Linked DNA regions of Coturnix japonica. The protein of the gene in region 1 purifies or fractionates together with the protein of each later gene. This does not show direct contact. Links are inferred from orthologs where the notes say so. Each region holds a gene or a part of one and is shown on either strand. Other genes may lie near its edges.

The links.
Region 2: the proteins of CCNC (region 1) and CDK19 purify together in Homo sapiens (affinity purification with mass spectrometry; 8 studies listed by BioGRID and IntAct, counting the BioPlex papers as one, with this or other methods). This does not show direct contact. The link is inferred for Coturnix japonica from reciprocal best matches to the Homo sapiens genes CCNC and CDK19.
Region 3: the proteins of CCNC (region 1) and MED9 purify together in Homo sapiens (affinity purification with mass spectrometry; 4 studies listed by BioGRID and IntAct, counting the BioPlex papers as one, with this or other methods). This does not show direct contact. The link is inferred for Coturnix japonica from reciprocal best matches to the Homo sapiens genes CCNC and MED9.

What each region holds. Positions count from the first base shown.
Region 1 is NC_029518.1:64,948,255-64,951,903, forward strand, and holds part of CCNC (cyclin-C), read left to right. Parts: intron 1-184; coding exon 185-254; intron 255-1,791; coding exon 1,792-1,843; intron 1,844-3,649. UniProt on the Homo sapiens protein: Component of the Mediator complex, a coactivator involved in regulated gene transcription of nearly all RNA polymerase II-dependent genes.
Region 2 is NC_029518.1:60,492,018-60,495,666, reverse strand, and holds part of CDK19 (cyclin-dependent kinase 19), read right to left. Parts: intron 1,780-3,649; coding exon 1,513-1,779; intron 1-1,512.
Region 3 is NC_029529.1:4,804,145-4,808,261, forward strand, and holds the start of MED9 (mediator of RNA polymerase II transcription subunit 9), read left to right. Parts: upstream 1-1,206; 5' UTR 1,207-1,241; coding exon 1,242-1,390; intron 1,391-4,117.

The DNA.
Region 1 (3,649 bases):
CCCTATTAAATTTTGTATTAAAAAAAAAATAGTGCCACTTTTGTTTTCTGGATGGTGTAAAGCTTTTATGTTAGTAAAAAGTTAACTTAAGTTTTGGTTTTCAAAAGGAAGTGTGGTGCTCTTAATAGCTTAATGGTTCTACGTGTGTGAAACAACATATTATAATTTTGTTATAACATTTCAGATATTCCCTAAAAAGTATAGATCCAGTATTAATGGCTCCTACGTGTGTGTTTTTGGCATCCAAAGTAGAGGTATGAAGCATTACAATTTTTTAATGTGAAATTATGTGATGTATGAGAGTGGAAAAACGTTCAGGACTTTGAAATTTTTTTGTCATTCTTCATGCTGTGGGGGTTAAACCTTCTGGGTGTTTTTTTGGTATGGATTTCTATCGCAATTTAAGAGAAGGAGACAGAAGGCCTTCAAACATTTTATTTAATATTTGATCTTTCACATTTTTGTCTGAATTACTAACCCTGAAGAGCCTCTGGACAATTGGAAAGGTTACTTTTAAATGTCTGTTTTACTGTCACAGTGTTTATGTATTTACATACAGTGTATCTTAAATTGTGCAGTTTTTACTTGATTCTCCTTTCTCGTGTGCTTTTCCTTCTTATGCTTACTCAAATTTTAAAACAAATTAGATTTTTTTTTTCCTAATTGTCTTTTTCCTTTTCTTATAGTGAGGGGATCCTCAGAGTTTACCACACTTTCATTACTTGAATTAAAAGCATGTTGTAGCTCATGTGCTGTGTTTGAGAAGGAACTGGCCCATTAGGGATAGTGGTGAGAAGGCCCGAGTCTTCCGCCAGTGGAGGTGAAGGTCCTCTTTGGAGGTGGCTAAAAGTTAGCGTCAGCTAGGCCCTGTTCCCAATTTTCTAAGAAATGGGAGAAGTTTTTCAGTAGCCTGAGGAAAATCTGCATAACGGGGGGGGAAAGAAAAATCATACTGCTAGATCTGTGCTATATTTGCGCCCATTAATTTTATGGGAGGAACCTAAATACCTACAGGCAGTCCTACTGAACTGATGTTTGTGTGTGATACTCTTATCTATACAAAAGCTCTGATACATTCCAGTGTTTGGAAGAGATAAAGGAAAGGAGAAAGACAAGACATTGGATAGAGTTTTGTATTTTTTATCACCTTGTTGATTAAGCCTTTGAAATCTACTCATATAAGGAAAATCTGTCCACTTACACTTTATATTAGAGCAGGAGTTAGAAGGCAGCACAGCCTTCCTGATGCTAAAGCTGCTGTATCTTCAGAAGGCAGATGCAGCGGTAATGATTCTGGTATGTGCATCTCCAAAAGGAAGTTATAAGTAGAAATTTTTGACTTGCTGGCTGCTTCAGTGGAAAACTGAAGGCTTCATAGAAACATAATTTAAGAAGTTAGTTAATGACAGCTTTATTAATGTGGTTTTCTGTCCAACTAGGATAAAAACCAGCACACCTTAGTGAAGCTTTTTTGACTGTTTTACGTGTAGGTTGTTAGCAAACTAATCTTCAGGTATTATCGCTGTAGTACCTTTCTCGGACATTTACTATTCTTCATTCTTTATAACTCAAACAACAAAGTAAAAAAAAAAAAAGAAAAAGAAAACTTTTTTAACCTGAATTGTATAATTTACTCTGTTTACCTTTAAAAATAATAATAATTTTAAAAAGGGGGTGGGGAAAAAATGAAATGCTTCATAAAGTCCATTTAAGAGGCTATTTTAATTTGATATTAGTGTGGATAAGCAGTATTTCTGGTGGTTCACCTCATTTAACCCTCTTTTTCTTCAGGAGTTTGGTGTTGTTTCAAATACAAGGTTGATTTCTGCTGCTACTTCTGTGTGTAAGTATTAGTGGTTTTCATTATGCTATGGTTAAGTATCTCTGTAGGGAAGTTAGACTTTTTTATGATAGCTGTTTTTATTAAGTCACGGGTGGTTACATGTTGACTGCTTGGAGCCAGTTAAATCCATTTAGCATAAATAACTTCTGTTTTTAAATATGGAAACAGAAGGCTCTACCCTTTATTAGTTCTTGTTGATTCTGATTGAAGCTTGTAGGAACCACAAATAAAACGAAAATTAGATACCGAGGCTAATACTTAGTCTAGAGTAGTAAATAGAGATCTGAGCTACTCAAAGATAGAACTGGAACTTAGGGCTTTATTTATTTATTCTATCAGGTGTTTTTCCATGTTTGTAGAATTTTTGGTAGGCTTCATGCCTCCCGAGTTTTTAATCCCTTTTTTCCTCCCATCATAAATTAATTTTCACACGATATTAGAGTGCTACGGTTAGGCTGCGGTTGGACTTGATGATCTTTGAGGTCTTTTCCAACCTGAGTAATTCTACGATTCTATGATTTATTTCTAAATCTGTGTTTCAAAACTTACATATTGTTCATAAACAAAGATGCAACAAAATCACACTGTAATTCCTTTATTTTCCCTCTTTCCCACTCGCCTTATATTTCCCACTACTGTAAATTTCATGTCAAACATCAAGGTCTTAAAGCAATGGCTTCCTTAACTAAATGCTGTAATTTGACCCAGAAGGTCCAGCTGCTCTCAAAAGGCAATTCCTCATTATGCTCTTCAAAATGTAGGTCAGTGCTTTCAAAATAGCTCTTAGCTGCTGAGGGGACAGGTGACTGGCTGCATCTGTAGCCTGCACATGCGGTAACTGTATCAGTCCATGGGGCTGGCTGTATGACAGTTCTACCACCAGAAACTAAAACACGTCTTCAGTGCCAGCCTGACCAAGACCAGTACTAGATTTAGCAGTAAGTGCTGCTATTATTATAGCAGAAGCATCTCCAAGCACAGATCTGTGTAGCTATTTTGATGCATGAATGAGAAACTTAGATGGATTTTAGTTGATTTTACTTAGTCTTCTACTGTTGAGTTGTGTTGTTTCTGAACATTCCAAGGCTCAGAGTCCTGTAGAAGATTACTCTCATGGTTCTTCCTTCAGACCTAGGGTTCCTGTGCGTCCTGATGGGCACTCAGCATTTCTTGGAAGTGGGGGAAAAAAAAGCAACAGGCTTTTTCCTTGCATTTTTGTGCTTTTATTCTACCTACTCTTCCTGTACAATAGCTGCTGCTTCAGTACACATCAATTTATTTGGAACAGAAAAGGAGTAAGAAGATGAGAATAGTCAAAGGAAGCTAGCAAAGGGAAAATAGCATAGTTGTGGCTAGTTTGCTTTTTGTTAAGTAAGAACATTGGAACTAGTAGCACGTGCTTCCTTTGTGAGGAAGATATCTCATAACTCGCAAGCTCTTCAGAAGCTTTTCCTTCTGTTTACACAGCTGAACTGAGAGGACAATTTCATATGGTTGTCTCCAGCTTGCTGTATTGGGAAATAAATGTTTCTATTTCTTTTCCCTTCAAAGTAGTTTATTTTTCAGCATTTATCTCTTTAACTTGCATGCTACTTGAGATGTCTGTTTGATTCCTTCTTCTGTTATCTTGAAATAATTAAGATTTCCAACCAGTGGATTAGTCTTACTGCCCTGCAGCAACTTTTCTAGTGAAGTTCACCATAGATCTCTATATTGAAGCTTTCCATCCAGAGGACTGACGTCTTTCAAAGGGACTGGCGTATGGATTCCCTGGAAGAAGCATCAATTCAGAGTTTACTGTCTGTC
Region 2 (3,649 bases), about 4.5 Mb from region 1:
TATTATTATTTTATAGATCTAAGTCAGACTTGGACAAATTGCAAACATTCCTTCCTGGAACAGAAGACTGTCAGCTACAATTTAAGGGCAGAGAGCCAGATACAAATTTAAAACTGGATAATCAGATCAGACAGTTTAGCAAGTGATGTAAAGGGAGCACACAGATCATTATTTCACTGCCTGTGCTGTTAAATCCTAGAAGGAAATGGTCATGGGAGGTAAAAAAGAATTTAACCATCTCAAAAAAAGGAGAAAAATTAGATTTAGACTGCTAAAAAACTTGCAAGGTGGAAACTTGCCAACAGTTTGGAGAGCTGTGCAAGGATTCTGTAATGAACATCATCTAATGCAGCACATCAGCTCTCAAAATGCAGATCAAAACAGACCAGCCATAAATACTATGTAGTCAGACAGCTGTAGTGATCTGTCCAGACTTCAAGCCTGCCTGGAACTTTTCAGAAAGGAAACCTTGTTGTCTTTAACCTTACACTGCCCTCAGTACCTGTGTGATAATTTGCAATTAAAAGAGTAAAAGAGAAATAGGAGAAAAATGTCTGGCACTGAGAAAGCAGTTGTGTGTGGAGGAGGTACGGGTGGAGAAGCCAAAGCAATTGCAGAGTTGCTTTGTTTTGTTTTAAATCTGTTTAAAATAGCCTGAAAACGTTTCTTGAACATGGTGCACTCTTGAGGGTTGGTAGCAAGCAGAATCCCTAACATGCTTTAAAACATACCTTTACTAAGCTAACTTCCTTTTATCTGATTTGAAGAACGTGGTTGAATCAACTCTTTGGACACTTAGTGTCACTTTTTCAGAGAAAAGAATCATAATTCTATTAAGCAGAGACAAAAGTTCAAGTCCAAAAACAATTCAGTGATACTTCTTTTATGTATGAATGCTACTGAAGCAAAAAGCATGAAAGCTATTCAACCCCTGCCACAACAGAGATTACACACGCTCATGCCCTGCTTCAGCATGATTCATACTGATGAACCAAACCTGTGCTATCATGTAGTCTAACTTTAGAAGTAAATTTAGTAAGATACTGGAACAAACTACAGAATTGTTCCATATGTGTGATGATACGAGGTAAAACAAAGCAGAAACCAAAGGAGAAAGCCTGGCTCTAATTTTGACTTGCTTCCCAGAATCTGCCTCTCACACAGGACTTAACCTTGCCAAGAGCCAAGTATTTTGAATGTGATATGATGCAGCATTTACATTCATGAAATAGTTGCAGTGGCTTCGCTAAGATTATTCTCAAATAAAGCTACACACATATTTACATGCTTTCCTGGGGTGGTTGAGTCCTCAACACTTTAGAGGGTGAAGCAGACGTTTTTACTTCCCTAATAGGCTTTAAAGCTGCATTTTTATCTAATGTATCAGAGCACGGAGCTAAGGTTATGAGGAAAATTCATTAAAACATTATATTCATATTTATTGCAGTGGGGAACAGAGAAAACAACATTTTGCCTCCAATCAATCAGAAGCAGCAAAAATTCAAGAAGTACCTGATAATCTGAAGGCATGACAGGCCCGCCTGAGTTAGCGCCTGAAGGCCCTATGCGTGGTTTCTTGTTTGGAGGCACCTGGTTGAGGCTGGAGTCCTGGCTGTGCTGGAGTCCCGCACCCGCGCCCCCTCCGCCCGCACCCGTGCCCCCGGCCGTCCCGTTGGTTTGGGTGCTGTTCTGCTGCTGCTGCTGCGGTTGCTGCGGTGCGGCCTGCGGCTGCTGCTGAGGTGCTGTTTGCTGCTGATGTTGGTTCTGCTGCTGCTGATTCTAAGGGAAGAAAGAAGTGACAGCACACCATCATTCGCTCTGTACTTGTTTGTGATCCTGACAGAGTCACTAAGCTGGGTGCCACTGTGCTGCTGGAAAGGCAGCAGGCCCACGTGCTCGCCAGGAAAGCAAGGCCAGGTAATGCATAACATGAGCTCCCTGCGTGCTCCTGCCTGCCTCAAATTGGGGTATCTCATTTGTGGCTCACTTCTTTCCATTGTGGTTTTGTGTTGTTTTTTCTTTGTTTGTTTTTTAACAAAGCAGGATTGACTAGAGTTGGCATGACAGCTTAGTGATTGCTGCAGCTAGGCAAGCACTTAGGCCAGAGTAACAGTGAGCAGGATGGAAGGAGCTATTTATAAACACTTAATAAGCAGAATCAAAGCGCCCCAAATTTCACTGGTTCTCAGTGGCAGATGTGGCGAACCACAGTACATTTTCCTAAGTGCTTTAACAGCCCCATTCACTTAGAACTAAAACCACTTTTCCAACTTCCACAGATGATGCACTGCAATCATCCAAAGGAGGCTGGCAGTGTTGCCATCAGAAAGGTAAGCAAAACAAGACCAGAAACATTACATCATTTCTTCCAGTTACAAGGAAATTCTGTGGCAGAACCAAAAGCAGGTTCCATTACCCTTTTTCTCTCTTTCTTTTAAAAGCACCTTGGAAAGAGTGGTACATTGGGAACACAGTCCAGCATGGTACCTAGCTATAAGGTCTGAAAATCTTACTGAGACAGCAGGAAGTGACAAATGACCAGAGAGAAACAGCTGAAAATAGAAGAGAAGGACAAAGGTGAGATAAGAATCTGGCATGAGAAAGAAAAGAATAGCAAAGGAAGAGAAGTGAGGCAATTAATACAATACCATGGCCTAACAGGGAGAAAGAGCAAAGTGCCACAGAAGGGAGGGAAAAAGTTAAGGAGAACACAGAAGCAGAAGAGTAAAAGGTGCAGCTCTTCTGGTTTCAGAAGCTATGGACTGGAAAAAGCATTAAGGTCTAGAGAGGTTAGAAAAGTAGCAAAATTGCAACTCTTCTCCCTATGGTTAGACACTCACAAGGAAAGACCACCTGTGTTTGTCTGCTTTTGAGCATTACAGAAGACTCCTCCAAGAGAAGAAGCAAGTAAGAGAACTGCAAAGAAAAGCAACTGTGCTCCTAATGTCAGGTATGTAACCTGTTCATCATAGAAAGCTCTGCAATTTTCATGTCTTGAATTAAAAATCCCTACATTTAAGTCACACCCCCCAATCATAGTGTACTGCATGGGAGTGTGGAACATTTCAGGATAGTCTTTTTTCCCTGTGATATCTGCTTATGTAGTTCTCAAAGGTTTGGTATGGCAGCCTTTATTACATCCTCATGTTATCAGTTAATCAGAAATCCTGACAACCAACTGCCACTAGCACTAAATTGCTGATGCTCTCAGTCACGGCAAGCCATTTCAGTTATCTCAGAAAAATGACACAAAAATCTATATCTATGCCACTCATCACAACAGTTTCCCAAGATATAATCAGATCAAATTTGCAACGGTGTATTCATTTAAAATCTCAAAGATCTTAAATTTGCCTCTTCAAGGGCTGCTGGATGATACGTATTTCCATTTCACACTGAGCAAAACCAGTAATACATCCTACCACTAGTAATCCTCAAATGTCATCTCAGCCAGACTCTGTTTCTACGGGGATTTAAACTGTAAGAAGTTAAACAAAAGTCTGAAACAGGCTTGTCATAGAATGCGTTAAGAAGTAATTTATCTTATAATAGCGGTTTGAGCTTCACATACCAACAAATGCCAATGACTAAGGCAATATCTGTGCTAGATTCTGAGACTTGTATTTTCATAAGGATGCTGGGATGTGAA
Region 3 (4,117 bases), on another chromosome or scaffold:
ACGACGTGCAGAAATGAACCTCTCTGCTCAGCCCCACACAAAGGCATTAGCATCCTGTACCTCCTGCTTGGTTCAGTCAAGGGCCATGAATCCCACCAGCCTTCCCGCAGGGATCTGCTCAGCAGGTCCTGGGCACCCCTGGGCTCTCCTGCACATTCCAGAACTGGTGACCAAGCCGGGATCTATTCTTGACAGTAGAACAATGTGAACAATTGCATCTGCTATATTTAGAGCGAGCAGTCAATAATACATACGCACAAACGGTTACCAGCGTTCTCATTTGATACATAAATAGTTCGCTTTTCAAAAGAAATTGTTTTTTAAAATGAAAATTACCTTTCCCGTCATCCCTGGGCTATAACTAACTGATGAACCCGGGAGCTGAATTCAAATAAAAAACAAAATTATCTGTGCTCTCTAAGCCAATCCAGGAAGGATAACTCACGACTGTGGCTGCTGTTATCAGTGCTACAATAGTGTGTATTGACAGAGCGGTTTAAACGCGGCAGCAGCAGTTTGCTGAAGCACACTCCTGATGGTGCACAGGGGCAGCACTGCTCACCCTCACCTTCCATGCAGCGTGTTCTCCATCACCCCCTTGCACTCACAGCCCAGGCACCCAAGAACCCCACCTCTCCCCTCCTTGCAGCTTCATGGATGTCTCAGCCCTGCTGCTGGATTTTTGCCTCCATTCCTTCAGGTTTCTCCAGTTCCAAGCCCTGAAAGCCCTTCTCTTCTCCAGGCTGAACTCCCTCAGCCTGCCTTTATATGGGAGAGGTGCTCCAGCCCTCACAGCATCTCCATGGCCCTCCTCTCCAACGAGGACAGCCAGGAACAGTTGGGCTGCACACAGGTCAGGGATGCTGTAGGTCACACTGTGGGGTGCTCAGTGTGGGTGTGCAGGGCACTGCCTTGGGAGCACAGGCCCGGCTCAGCTGGGGAACACCTCAGCAGCAGTGCAGTCCCATATCTGAGACCCAGTCCCAAAGCTTGACCCCGGGCTCAGCCCCCACACCCACCCTCACAGCCCAGGACCCAGGGAGGCCTCCGAGCCCCGCTCCGGCCCAGGCCTCAGCCCCAGGCCACGGCCCGCAGCATCCCCACACCCCAACCTCCTGCCCAGGCCCAAACTGAGCCCCACACACAAGCAGCATCTGATGCTCAGCCCAGGCCGCCGCCGGGGCGGTACAGAGCGGCCGAGCTCCGCCCCGCTCCGTCACTGCTCGGCGCCGGGGGCCGCCATGGCCTCGGTGGTGTCCGCAGGCCGAGGGGCCGCCGAGGAGCCGCCGCCGGCCGAGCCGCCCACCGAGCAGAAACCGCCGCCCGCCCCGCCGGCAGCAGCGCAGGAGGAGTTCTCCTTCCTGCCGCTCGTCCACGACATCATCAAATGGTAACGGCGGCCGCACAGCGCCGGGCCGGCCTCACCACGGCATCACCCCGCAGGGATGCTCCCTCTGCCCTTTCTCTCCCCGCTGGGGTCTATGGGGGGGTTGGCAGCTGCTCTGCTCTGAGCCGGGCCCGTAGTTGGGGTCACCGAGGTGGGGCAGGGCCGGGTGTGCAGCAGCAGGAGCCGTGCCGAGCTGTTATTGCCCCGTATTGCTGCTCTGATGGGCTGATAAGTAAAGGACGGGCAGTCCCAGGGCAGCACTGTCTGTTTCTGGGCGTTGGGAGAAAGAGGAAGGCTTGTGCAGGCTGAGTCATCCTCTTTCCTGTTCAAAATCAATGCTGTGGGGTTAAAGGTGTTCGTACGAGGGTCCTGACAACCAGCGTTTGTGGCCCAGGGTAACCCTGTCAGAAATGTTTGAGTTCCCGGTAGGGGCATCGCCCTGCTGTGACCTGGGCACGTTGCACAGTGATGCAGAGGGCACAGGAAGCGTGAATTCCCACTCCTTGTTGTGGGTCTGACTGCCCTTTCCCTGCACGCTTCTATGGGAGCTGAGGCTGCTTTGTTTCCTGCTGGGGTTCTGTGTGTCTGAGTACCCAGAAGAGGTTCACCCTTATTAACCATGCAGCTGGAGGAGCATGGCAAGGAAAGGCCGAATACCCCACAGACACGGCAGCCTAGAATCTAGCTCTCCTAGATTCAGGAGAGCTATGAGAACTCAAACCCACCCTCCATTTCCCCCCTGCGCTGCCACTGTCCCTGTGCTCAACCCTGCCTGATCCATCCAGAGGTGATGCTGAACCTGCTGCCATCTGTATATGTGTGCAGAGCCAGAGTGAGCCAGATCCACGGGCTGAGACCTCCCAGCCTCCTGTGTGTCACCAAGCAAGTCGTGGCGACCCACAATGACAGTGCTGGGATATCCTGTGCCCTGTCCCTCTGAGCCACCCACTCCCACTGCCCCGCTCCCCCCCAGGTTGGCACACAGCATTTCCTGCACGGGGTGAGCAGACGTAGGTGCTCAGAGCAGCACTGCAGAGGGGTCAGACGGCAGAGCCGAGCAGTGGGATGAGTTGCCTCATGTCCCTGACAGATGGCAAACGTATTATCCTTTAACGCCGCCGCCAGGCTCACAGCCCGGCCCTGCTGTTCTGACACTGACTCAGCCCTGAAGACATTTCACATCTCCAAGGTGACTGTGCTGGGGTGCAGTGATGTATCGCGTACATTTGCTTACATTCAAGGACACGTGTTCCTTCCTGTTGTTTGAGTCCCAAGAAAGTTCTCCCAGGCAGGGCTTGCTGTTACTTTCACCCTTGTATAATCAGATGAGGTTACCTGTGAGGTCCCTGTGCGTGGTGGGTTGTGCTGGTGTATCCAGGAGCTGCAGGTGGGACATGATGGAGTTATGATTTGTTCACAGCAGTGAAGGAGAGCTGGTGGGCAGCTGGGGAGGGTCTGAAGATCTCAGTCCTTGAAGGGAGATCCCAAGCACTGTGAGGCTGTGGCTGGACATTGCATTTAATCCTGTGTAACTGCAGGTAGCTGAACCTCTTCCCACTCTTGCTCTCCCCCCTGCCTTTCCATGCCTGCAGAGGAGCTGCTTCAATTACTTGAAAACTCCCATCAGAAACAAAACAACAACAAGCCTGAAAATAGTTATTCCTTCAAACCAACCAACCAACCAGGCAACCATCCATTCTTTGGATGTGGAGAAGAGAACGAGCTGTGGAAGGACCTGGTCGGCCCTTTGAATCCAGCATGCAGCTCGTGTGGATTAAAGGCAATGCCAACCCATCCTTCCCAGATGTGCAATGTGTGTGTGCCTGTATTTTTCCACTGTCAACTTGACCGTAAACGCCTGCATAATGGGGGTACATTATAGTACCAGCTGCGGTTTTATTTAGAAGGGAGTCATGAATATTTTGTTCCAACAGGCTGTTGAAATGAACGGGACCATCTGGTTAAAAGTTTTGCTCTCAGTCGTGTCACGATTCCCCAAAGTTCTAATCAGGCACCTCTCTGCCCTGGTCATGCCAAGCAGTTTTATTTTGGGCCTGGCTATTGAACAGGCTCCCAGCTTACAGGGGCCGTTAGCAGCCTGCTCTCGTTATTAGCGCTGCCTTGGAAGCAGTCTCGCCTTTGCCTGGAATGGTAAAACTCCTTGCTGTAGCTAACAAAGCTGAAGCAGATACTAATGAGGGTTTGAGGGCAGACGCTGCCTCAGACGACGCTGATCCTCGAGAAGCACGGAGCTGCAGAAGCAATTGTGCTGCTCTTAAAAAATAAGCTGTCGCTTCTCTTTATTAGGTAGACATCCCCGGAGAGTCGTTCTGAAGCTCCGAAATGCCGTTTTCTCTGCCATTGGACACACTCTGGTACTTTGGGGAACGATTCCTATTTTCTGCTGTCAAGCTGTTTGACTGCATCGATTTCTTGTATTGCTTTGACAACAGGTCACAGACGGGGCTGAGGTCTTTTTTCCCAGGTGCCCACACACAACCTGTGTGTGTGTAATCTTACCTTCCCCATATGGGAATTGAAACAGAGTGAGAGGCTGTGGTAGTGTTTGAAAGCTGCAGACCAGGTCTTAACCTGTAGGACTGCAATTAAGGTTACTGGATGGTGTGCTGAAAATGACCAGGAAACCAGTTTGTCCCAGCAGCTGCCTAATCTGTGTATGTGTCTCTGGTGGTTTTGTTGTGATAGGTGTGAATTAGATCCCAGGAGCAA